Oryzias latipes: one gene and its partners. The protein of the gene in region 1 interacts with the protein of each later gene in a biochemical or structural test. Links are inferred from orthologs where the notes say so. Each region holds a gene or a part of one and is shown in the gene's direction. Other genes may lie near its edges.

Region 1 (3,651 bases):
ATTCCTGCTCTGCTACCTTTTCTTTAAAAATGTTTTAGTTAATCCTTTTTTTTTTCATTCAAGTTTAAAACCGACCAATTGATGCCTCGATAAAAGTAGGTGGTGCCTGCTGGCCCTCACGTCGAACGTTCAGAACGTCTGATAAACAGATTTCATGTAGCCCGCCGCTTTCAAGTGAAAGGGGTGTGGACTTTCAATAAGCTCACTCCTGATTGGCCATAGAAATAAGGACACCGACCAACCCAGACCAATCACAGCTTAGTGACGTCGGGCTCCAACATGGCGGTGTCCATATCAGGAAAAGATGGCGTTGGAGCTGGAAGTAATCCATTTTCTATGGGTGAGGTCACACTCACTCAGTCCAGTTCTCGTATACAGTCAATGGTTGCAAAGTAGTCAACTTTATTTTTTACAAATATCTATTAAGGCTGTAAAACCCCTCACAATGCTCTTGATATACTTTTCTCAGAAATTCATGAACAGTTTCACACTTTACTCCTTTGTTTAAATTCTCAAAGTTGAAACCATAATAGACAAATAAATGTAATACTATAGAATGAAAACAAAGGTCTGATCAAAGATTTTGAAAACTGAACACGTTCTGGACAGGAGACACAGCACAGAGATTGGTTGACAGTAGCATGCAAAATCGCACACAAAAATCTGCAAAAAAAAAAGCAACATTGTGAGATAAACCACGATATTGCAAGGAACCAACATATAAATAAACTCTAGGGAAGCTGCTGTGTGGTGAATGCAGGCAAGCTCATCAATCTGCTCTATTGAATCCTGAAAGTTTTCTCCCCAAAAAAAGGCTAAAGAACTTTAATTTGTGAAACTTATGCAACTTTTTCCCAATTCCTGATCATTTTCTTCCAAGAGTTCCTAGATTTTTAGCCTCAGGGCCAAAGTGGGCCTCAGTTATTGGAGGAGGCTCTAGGAGGAGAATTGAGCCTCCCCAGAGGACTCTTGTGGCAGAGGCAGAAGCTGCTGACAGCTGCCTCTACTGCACACTTCCTTGATGGCTTTGATTAAACGGCAGACCTCGCTCACTTTAACACCACGTGACCCTGGAGGAATGTGCACTCTAGACTGTAGCCGACCTGTTGAGTGGGTTTGTTTCCTGTAAACAGTGCGCTCATGTTTTAGTTGTAACAGTGTTGCTGATGTCAGAATCACTGGGGGTTAAACCTCCGTTCTCTCCCGTATTTTCTGAGAGCGCTTTGAGTAAAATACACCTTAAAGACCCTTCCGGGTGCATTAGTGGGAGTCCTGTTTTGATCATTATTTTGGATCAGTAAAAAGGAAATAAAAACAAGAAAGAGGCCTACAATTAATGTTTGGAAAAGCTTCAAAACATATATTCAATTAAAAATATCAAGTACTTCAAAATGTATACACACACACACACACACACAAATGTTTGTAAAATATTTACAAAAACAAAAAATGAATAACATCTTTGAACTCAAGATATTCCTATCTAGAAAAAATACTCAGCATGCCCATGTAAACGAAGTGCAATATGACACATTGAGTCTAGAAAAAAAATGTATATATATTCAAAAAAATGAAGTCAGAATTTATGAGTTGACAGTCTTTCACTGTGTCCCTCGCTGCTATAAAACCCCTCCCACTGGTTACAGATGGGGCGGTGGCTTTCTACCGCCTGCTCCTGGCTGTGAGAGTCTCTGAATGATGTCAGGAACTCACACACAGAGACGTGCGCTGCTCATCGATGCTTTTGTAGAACTGATCCCTCATCATCCACGTCCTCCATGATGAAGTCGAGAAAAGCATTAGACGGAAGCTCCTCCCACACGCCACGGGGCTTTAACTTAACACCTTTTTGGACGTGTGTCAGGCAGGAACTAAGGCATGTTATAACAAAAACGGAGACATGGAAATTTAACACGTGAATGGCGTTCGTTGTGAATAGACGGTTGATTTAAATGATGCGGACACAAGTTGCACACGAGAAGCGAGACTGGGGCTTGATCTGTGGTACATGTGTGTGCCGAACCGTGGCTAGTGATGCGTACCATGATCCGTTGCACCCCGACTGATCATATTGTGATCTATTGCGAATGCATTCCCCAAGACCTCTCAGTTATGTGTGTGCCGTCTTTAGCCAAAACAAAAAAAACCTGTGTGGTTTTCTAGGAAATAGTTTCTGCAGAGCGGCAGGAGTTCAGTAGAAAGTTGTGAGCGGGAACGCTGGCATGGAGGAAATCCTGCCCCCCCTTACCTTCCCCCCTTGCTGAGAGCTCTCTGTTTACATGCTTTTCCACCAGCTCACAGCCCTCACACCCCAAACCTGACATTATCGGTGCGACAAAAATGGCGAGCAATAGTGGAGCTATCCAGCCATATCTTCTAAGCCAGATATGCCAGATCAAACAAGGAAAACAAAGGCGGACATGGATGTAGTCATCTATCAGAATAGAGCAGAGCAGGGAGTAGCATAACCAATACAATCTTTTTCAAACTACATATTTTTGTCTGCTCCTGATTTGCGATTTTATTGAAGAAATACTCAGAAAAGCAATTTTAAGCCTAATTCTCTTCATATTTTTCCTCCTCCATCAGAAAAATGCCATAAGAACATGTTATAGACACCAAACGCTCACTTTTTTGTAAATTAACTAGTGTGTGCTCCCCACAGGGAGGACGATTGGTTTAAACAAGATCTACCCAAGTACTTGTTCCCTGAGGACCCCTCCTACAGCAACAACATGATAGATGACGAGGCCCTGAAGGAGGTCTGTGAGAAGTTCGAGTGCACAGAGGAGGAGGTTCTGTCCTGCTTATACAGCCGCAACCATCAGGATCCATTAGCTGTGGCTTACCATCTCATCATTGACAATCGGCGCATCATGAGCGAAGCCAAGGATTTCTACCTGGCGTCCAGCCCTCCCGACTCCTTCTTGGACGACCAGCACCTGACTTCCTCCGCCGCAGCCGTGGCTGGCGTTTTAAAGCCCCACCCCGAGCGGGTACCCTTCCTCGTGGCGGAAACTCCGCCCAGGCCCCGCCACACCCTGGACGAACTGAACCCCCAGAAGTCCAAGCACCAGGGCGTCCGGAGAGCCAAGTGGCACCTGGGGATCCGTAGTCAGAGCCGACCCAATGACATCATGTCGGAAGTGTGCCGCGCCATGAAACAGCTGGATTATGAGTGGAAGGTAGGACGTCCCTCTGAGCGGTGTGGGGATGGGTTCCTGCCAAACATGTCTGCACGCCAGATGGACACCTGCTAAATGAAATGGCCACTACTGAAATGTTGTTTGAACTCCTTAGCTTGTTGCGACTCAAGCATTTTAAAATCCCAGAACCTGTAACATGTTCTGACCCGTTAAATCCACACAATCTATTTTTTTAATGAACAGACCTTCATCCTGATCTTTGAAGAGGTTCTCTATCCATCTCACCTAACTCAAGAATCTTAAGATAAAAATCTGTTTAATAACAATTTTTTTCCTAGTTGAAATTAAGTTTCTAGCTTACACACTAAACGAAAAAGAACCTTCATGCAGAAGATCCCACAGTGAGGCCAAACATTAAAGCTTAACTACAAAACGGTCAAATTTAGGAGAGAAATTTTCACTTTTCCTTCATAAAAAATATATGTTTCCTGTTATTCTGTGGTCA
Region 2 (4,336 bases), on another chromosome or scaffold:
TGAGCCTACATAGGCACTGCCATCTTGCCTTCAGGATGCCTATAGTCATCTCCACCCTGACCCGTGTTCTGCTGTGGGTCAGGTTGAACTGTGCCTGTTGTCGAGTCTGAGGATCAGGGTAGGGGGTCATCAGATATGGCAGACAAGGATACCCCCTGTCCCCCAGCAAGTAACCACTGAAATGTCCTATAATGGCAGTTAAAGTGTATAATTTACATAACATTAAATGCATGACATTGTATAAAAAATGAAGGTAAATTATACCCTGGTGAAATTTGGGGCACAATTATGACTCCCTAAAAATTCTGGCATCACGAACAGATCCTAGCTATTTGGCTTCTTTTGTTTCTGCTTTCTTTTGTTTTGTGTGCTTGAATTAAAAAAACAATTCCAAAAAGATGGATCATCATACAAACTGCCTTACACCTCATTCAAATATAGAATTCTTTGTCGTATATTTGTCTCCTCTGCTTCTGCATGATCAAAATAAAGTAACATCGCAGTAATGCAAAATTGATTATTTTCGAATAAAAAAAACAATCTGTAATATAATGAATGGAAGTACAGCACAGTAACAAAAAAAGCATTTGGCAGTCACTGATTCTTCAAGATGTCGCACTTTTAAAATGACAGGTCAGTAATGTTCATCATAGATACTATTCAACTTTGAAAGACGACAACATGTTAAAAAAATCTAGCTGATCACATTGTATGATTTTTAAAAATGTGTTTGTATAACCCTTGTGCTATCCTAGGCACTTTAACGTTGGGAGTTGGGTCATCTAGACCCACAGTTCACTGAACCTTTTTTCTTCAATGATTTGTGATCTTCACTGGTGTCCATGGATTACATGAAATCTTTCCACCTTTATCCACTTTTTTCATGGTAGGAATAACACGTCAATGTAAGGGTGGGGGTCATAGGATAGCACAAGGGTTAAACGGGCACAGAAAAAGAGTACGGTATTTGATCAGAAACAAAAGTTCATCTTGAAATGCTTTTTACGTTGCCACTCCTTTGCTGCCATAAGTGGATGTGGCTGTGGCTGTCCAAACACTTTGCTCTGACAACACAATGACAATCGAAGTAAAAAAAGAGTCAGAAATCTGAGATTATTTTAAACAGCACAGAGTAAAAAAAGTTTAAATTAGACCAATTAGATTAATTAATTAGGTTAAAATGGGGGGAGGGGGTTAGAATCCGAAGAAAAAAGCCAGAAGTCGTAAAAAAAAGTCTAGAACTCTGACTGGATAATTTAGAATTCTGAATAAAGTCAGAAATCTGACATTATTGAGATAGAAAAGGTTTGAATTCTGAGATAAAGTGAGAATTTCCCTTTCTCCGTGGTCCTAATCTTCTTCCGTACGTAATAAAGATAACTATTGGGATTTTTTTCCCCTTTCTTTAAGAGAACTTTTAATTGAAAAACAAGCTAAGAGGTGCATACATCAATGGCGTAAAGCAGACTACTGCGGTGTAGTCAAGTCCACCCGTCCCAGAATCCTTTGCGCGACCTTTCATAGTTTCTGCATCCGGGGTCGTATTTCCTTTTCCTCTGTGCCTAGATGCGATGAGGAGCTAGGTTCGGCTGAACCTGTCTAAAATCCGAATCCATCCTTGTAAAAGGCACCACCGAACCTCCCCAAAATGACTGAGCAGATGACAGTAAGGGGGACCCTGAAGGGGCATAGTGGATGGGTCACACAGATCGCCACTACACCTCAATACCCCGACATGATTCTGTCGGCGTCCCGAGGTGAGGCTTCGCCCCGCCGGCACCGCCAACATGGCTAACGTTAGCTCTCAGCTGCTTGCGTTCAAAATGCTGTAACTTTGAATTTGTTGCGTGAGTAAATGAAACCAGCTAGATTTAATAAACAACTACGGAGGTTTTTACCGTATATAAAGTGATGCAAAATGAACATTTGTAGACATGTTAGCAAAGAGGTAAGCTAGCTTCCTGTGACATAGCATAATATGTGGCAGCTGCTACCTCAAAAAAACTTAGTTGTAACTGAAGCACTTTTCTTATTGATGCACATTTTATTTTGAAAAAAAAAATGTATCTGAATAAATATAAAAGTGGTTTGAATGTGTTTATCTAAAGTATCTCTTGCTTTCAGACAAATCTATCATCATGTGGAAACTGACCCGTGATGAGACCAACTATGGCATCCCCCAGCGCTCCCTGAAGGGCCACTCTCACTTTGTAAGTGATGTTGTGATTTCCTCTGATGGACAGTTTGCCCTGTCAGGAGCCTGGGATGGAACCCTCCGCCTGTGGGACCTCACCACGTAAGTGAAGGGCAGGAAGCATCTCTTTAGTGGTTGGTGGCAGCATGATTTTAATCATTTATGTGAAGCAGCTGCCAGCCAGCCATTCATTTGTGGAGAAAATGGGATGTATTTTGAAAAGATGCCTAACACATATGTACTAAAGACTATCAAAAGAAGACGAGTACATTTACTGATTACATTCCATGATGCATATAAATACCTTAGATTTCAGATTAGTTTTGTTGTTTTGCTATTGAGAGATTTGGAAATCAATTTAGCATGTTTCTTTTTAAAATGAGGTTTACCTGCATCCAGTCCAGTCATTTCAGTTTTTTAAGCACCAGTTTACAGCTTTAGTTGTTTCTAGGAGCCTCACAAGTCATGAAACGTCCAGTCAACCTAAATTCATTGTTTTTAATTCATTCCACCTCACATCATCTTTAAATGCCAAATTCTCTCAACTTGTATGTTTAGTCATTTTGATGGAGATCTATCCTGTTTATATTTTATGGGATTGAACTGACTTGTTTTAATGTACTATTGTCTCTAGCCTTTACCTTTTTTTGTTTACATTTGATAGTTTCACAGCTTTCTAAAGGCAAACCTTTATTGATGTTCCTTTCTTGGTCCGTCTGTTGTGGAGTGTATTTCTTAGCTGTGGTGTGATGACAGGCGTCCTCTTCATGTTTTTTTTTTTTTTTATTGAAAGCCTCTTGCTAATAGGTAAATGTGCCATTTTTCAGAGGGCTCACCACCCGCCAATTTGTTGGACACACCAAGGATGTTTTGAGCGTGGCCTTCTCTGCTGATAACCGCCAGATCGTGTCTGGCTCTCGGGACAAGACCATCAAGCTGTGGAACACTCTCGGCGTTTGCAAGTACACCATTCAGGTGAGCTGCCGGATAATGCTGCCTCTTTGTAGATCTTATGACGTCCTTATCCGTGCTGCAGGATTTTATTGACTTTGAACTCCTGTGAAGAGTTGACATGACGGTCAGATCATGAAGTTAAGCAAATTAAGTCGCTAACCTTCAAAAAGAAAGGCTTTACTGATAATCTCGTGCTTGTAAATTTTGTAAATTTATTTTAAAAAATCACATAAGCATTGACCTGTAATCAAATAGATTCCTGTAAAACCGTATGTGTTTGATTTTGCAGGATGAAGGCCATACTGAGTGGGTGTCTTGTGTTCGCTTTTCTCCAAACAGCAGCAACCCCATTATTGTCTCCTGCGGCTGGGACAAGATGGTCAAGGTTTGTACTTCCGCTTCCCTTCATTTGCCATTAGATTGATTTAAAAACAATAGAAAAATATGCTCCATGATTTTAAAGAAGTTTGCATGTATTACCTGACCTGGTTTCTGATGAGAAGCTTTGTGGATGAGAGCACGTCTCCACAGTTTTATCTGGTCTTTTCATGTCAGTGTAAACTTGACGGTCACTGTCTGCTGCTGTTTCTATAGGTGTGGAACCTGGCGAACTGCAAGCTGAAGACTAACCACATCGGCCACACTGGCTACCTGAACACGGTGACCGTATCTCCTGACGGCTCCTTGTGTGCATCCGGTGGAAAGGTAAGCTGGTTCAGTTGGAGAACTCGACTCGTATACTTGTGAAGATTTTTAGTGATGGCACACAAAGGCCGACCTCCAGGTGTCAACTGTGATGGATAAATAACACATCATTCTGTTGGTAAACAATTGATGACAAAAGAGGCTGTTTCTGAGTGACACTGAGTCGTAAAGCCACGCTAAATGAAGATCCAGAACAGAGCTGCTGTGTGGTCATGGCTTATTTTCTTGTTAATGTTCTCTCAATCAGGACGGCCAGGCTATGCTTTGGGATCTGAACGAGGGCAAGCACCTGTACACCCTGGACAGCGGCGATGTCATCAATGCCCTTTGCTTCAGCCCCAACCGCTACTGGCTTTGTGCCGCCACTGGCCCTAGCATCAAGATCTGGGTGAGAGCTCCTACGTGATGATGTGGAACTACTGCTGAATGTGGTTTGATGGGCCTTGATGAAACTTGAAAATGCTAACTGTATTGCTTGATGAT
Region 3 (3,651 bases), on another chromosome or scaffold:
CCTTCTGCCTCCCCTCTTTCTTCCACCAACAGTAGTCAAATTTCCACCGACACCCTGTAGGTTAACAGCATCGGTGGCGGTCGTTGTTAACCCGGGCCTCGACCGATCCGGTATGTCTAAATCTTTCTCGTGGATGATTCGCATGGTTATTTTGGCAATTTTTACGCCGGATGCCCTTCCTGACGCAACCCTCTCTATTTATCCGGGCTTGGGACCGGCACAGAAGTTACTGGCTTGCAACCCCTGTGGCTAGATTGCAACCCCTGTGGCTAGATCCATATATGTGATAATATATTACCTTTGGCACACTTAGGAACTATTTTTGTAAATGAAATTATTGGTTATTTTCACAGCTCATTTTCTGAAGTAACACAGCTCATTCTTAGAGTCACTGCCGTCCGCTCCATGTGGGTGCCGCCCATTTAATGACGTCAATCTAGAGTCGTCTTCTGCGTTTCACCCACAAAAACAAGCAACATCTAAAGTTTTGCAAAGATTGATGTCCATGTTGTGCACATCAAATGAAAGCATTTAGCCGATCATCGCTAGCTCAGTGGAGAACGTGAGTGTGTGTGTTAGCCAGGGGGCGGGGCTGGCAGCACAGACTCTTCCTGGAAGGGGCTGTTCTTCCTTTGTGACGTCACAATGTGAGGACCCGCTCATTTTCGTGGGTTGGGAGGGGCTGGTGCTAAAATCTTTGCAACACACTCCAGAGCAGAGTATTCTTGTTTCTGTGATAAGGAACTATCAAATGCTGTATTTGTTTGTGTTTCATTCTCATTTATAGTTTTTTTTTCTTTCTCCTTTGAGAAACTTTATTGTTGTTGATCCATTTAAACTCAAGTCAGGATTGAGCCTCTTTGGACATACAAGCAAAGGCTTTTCAATGCTTTACTTTCTTAGTTTGATCTCTAGCAAATTTCAAAATTCGGTTTCAATAAATTCCCCTTTTTACTTTTACGGGGGAATCATGCTGATAAACGTGTTTTTCTCTCTTAAGGACTTTGCGTCACTGCCTGAAAAAGACAAGACAGCTCTTGGTGAAGGAGGATCGACGCTCAGCGGCGGTCAGAGGGCACGCATCTGCTTGGCCAGGTACTGACTGCACAGCTGTGCATCAGTCTGGGCACAGACCTTTGTTTTCACCAAATGTGGGCACGAATGAAGTAAAAAAAAAAGTTAAAAAGTCCAATAACATTATTTTAAAGTAACATGTGAAGGATTCAAACGGTTTGGGAATTACTAAAAGTTTATTTAATATTTTAGGAATATTAATTTTTAATCATTTTAAATTACAAAGGTACATTTATAATCCAGCTGCTTTGATTATCAGTGGAAATCCAGAGGGAAAAAGGAATTTTTCGCTGTTATCAAAATAGTCTGTCCCTTCACAGAGGATGGTTTGCTTTCTGTTTTGATTGTGTGTGAAAAAACTCCTTAAAATGTTTTACTGTTTATGCAGAAACAAATCATCAGACATGTTCTCATTTTCCTGTGAACGATTTATTAGTGTTATGTTGTAGCAGTGATTTGTGGCCTCTGATTGTTTCTACCCTCACTGGAAAGGGTCAGCTGGAATGATTTACTGTATTTCCTCACCTTTCCTTTGCTTCATGTTTAGGAACAGCTGTGCTCATTGTTTTCTCTTTACTTCAACTCTTATTTTTAATGTTTTTCCTTTGTGTTCTTCTCTGACTGGCTGCATTGGCACTCTGTCTTCCAGGAGTGTGTATAAAGATGCAGCCCTTTACCTGCTGGATGCTCCTTTCACCCACCTGGACATTGCAACAGAGAAAGAGGTCTTTGATAAGTACGTATGCCGACAGAAACTCTTTCAAGCAGCAGTGGGGTGGGAGGGATGCTAAAGTTCAAGGTTAAGGTTTTCTCTTGTTGTTTCATGTTTATTAGCTGTGGTGAGCAGTCGGTCTGTAAGAATTACACTCTGATGAAATGATGTCTGGTGTCATGAGACACCTTATTCTGCATTCCAATATGTGCTTTTCAACAGAAACCGTTTGTATATTTTGCTAAAGATCCATTTGAGCATGCCTCATCCTCTTTCCACAGATGTGTCTGTAAGCTGATGGGCTCCAAGACCCGTGTTGTGGTCACCAGCAAGCTAGAGCACCTCAAGCGTTCAGACAAAATCCTCATGCTGCACAACGGAGAGTGTTACTTTTATGGTACATTTTCAGAGCTGCAGGCACAACGCCCCGACTTCAGCTCCCTCCTGCTTGGTCTTGAAGCTTATGACAACATTGTCGCGGAGCGACGCTCTTCCATTCTCACAGAAACTCTTCGCAGGGTCTCGGTTGACGAAACCGCTGGCTTCCGAGGCCCGGAAGCACTTCGCCAGTCGTTCCAGCACGCGCCACCTCAGGGTCACAACGGGGTTGATGGATACCCTGAAAAACGCAAACAGTCTCTCATCCTTAACCCCATTGCAGCTGCTCGCAAAATCTCCTTTATAGGGAACTCCCAGCAGACAGGCACACTCCAGCCGTCACTCATGGAGGAGGGTGGCAATGAACTTTCCGACAGAAGATTCTCTGTGGTGCCGGAGGATGATCAAGTGGAGGAAGCACTTCCAAGGAGTAACCTGTACCACCACGGGCTGCAGCACCTCGGTGGACAGCGGCGCCAGTCCGTCCTGGCTTTCATTACTAACGCTCAGGGCCAAGACCGCAGAGAGAGGATGCAGTCATCGTTCAGAAAAAAGCTGTCTGTCACACCACAGTACGACCTGGCAACAGAGCTGGACATCTATGCACGGCGCCTGTCCAAGGACAGCGTTTTTGAGATCACAGAAGAGGTGGAGGAAGAAGACATGGAGGTGTGCCCAATACACAGGCTTTTTTTCATGTGTTATCAAATGCAAACAAATGTTCTTCAGTCAACATCTGGGTACAAGTGTCTCTTCTGTTTTCCACAGCAATGCTTTGCAGATGAGCGTGAGAATGTCTTTGTGACTACCTCGTGGAGCACTTACCTCCGCTATGTTTCCACCAACAAAACCCTGATATATGTCCTTATTTTCATTGCTATTGTTTTTGCCATTGAGGTAAGATTCAAACCCTTTTCAAGTCCATGCTTTTAAAGTTGTGAGCATAATATGAACATCTCTGTCCTTGTCTCCACTGATAGGTTGCTGGTTCAGTCATTGGTATTTTTCTCATAACAGAGTGAGTGTCAGTGTTCCTCAAAACTGAAATAAAACTCTTCATTGTCAAACAGAAATCTAGTTTTCAGAGTCTGAGATATTTGTTTTGGAGTGTTTGTTGGAGTTTTTTGGAAATGTTTTCCTTTTCACATTATGTTTAATTATGAACCTTATCAATGGTAGGTTTCTAGAATTAAGTGGATGTTTTGAACCTTAAGACAAAATGTGATCATTTTTCCGTTGAAGCATAGCGTGACTTTCTGTCTTCTGCTCTGTTTTATCAGTAAAGTCTGGAGAGATGGTGCCAACCCAAACTCACCCAACTACATCGATGATCAGCCCATCAATTCCTCGTCCCCCCCGGTCCATCTGGCAGTTATTGTGACTCCGACCAGCGCCTATTACATTATTTACATCTTTGTGGCCCATTCAGACAGCATACTGGCCCTCGGAGTCTTCAGGGGCCTTCCTTTGGTGCACTCACTGCTCAC

The links.
Region 2: of the proteins of prkaa1 (region 1) and rack1, one has a biochemical effect on the other in vitro, tested with the Homo sapiens proteins (2 studies listed by BioGRID). The link is inferred for Oryzias latipes from reciprocal best matches to the Homo sapiens genes PRKAA1 and RACK1.
Region 3: the proteins of prkaa1 (region 1) and cftr form a complex in vitro, tested with the Homo sapiens proteins (2 studies listed by BioGRID, with this or other methods). The link is inferred for Oryzias latipes from reciprocal best matches to the Homo sapiens genes PRKAA1 and CFTR.

What each region holds. Positions count from the first base shown.
Region 1 is NC_019870.2:7,430,037-7,433,687, forward strand, and holds part of prkaa1 (5'-AMP-activated protein kinase catalytic subunit alpha-1), read left to right. Parts: intron 1-2,665; coding exon 2,666-3,185; intron 3,186-3,651. UniProt on the Homo sapiens protein: Catalytic subunit of AMP-activated protein kinase (AMPK), an energy sensor protein kinase that plays a key role in regulating cellular energy metabolism.
Region 2 is NC_019868.2:17,071,886-17,076,221, forward strand, and holds the start of rack1 (receptor of activated protein C kinase 1), read left to right. Parts: upstream 1-1,531; 5' UTR 1,532-1,648; coding exon 1,649-1,757; intron 1,758-2,124; coding exon 2,125-2,296; intron 2,297-3,021; coding exon 3,022-3,169; intron 3,170-3,437; coding exon 3,438-3,533; intron 3,534-3,742; coding exon 3,743-3,853; intron 3,854-4,100; coding exon 4,101-4,241; intron 4,242-4,336. UniProt on the Homo sapiens protein: Scaffolding protein involved in the recruitment, assembly and/or regulation of a variety of signaling molecules. Interacts with a wide variety of proteins and plays a role in many cellular processes.
Region 3 is NC_019864.2:3,335,174-3,338,824, forward strand, and holds part of cftr (cystic fibrosis transmembrane conductance regulator), read left to right. Parts: intron 1-1,000; coding exon 1,001-1,095; intron 1,096-1,723; coding exon 1,724-1,810; intron 1,811-2,067; coding exon 2,068-2,833; intron 2,834-2,932; coding exon 2,933-3,061; intron 3,062-3,144; coding exon 3,145-3,182; intron 3,183-3,444; coding exon 3,445-3,651. UniProt on the Homo sapiens protein: Epithelial ion channel that plays an important role in the regulation of epithelial ion and water transport and fluid homeostasis. Mediates the transport of chloride ions across the cell membrane.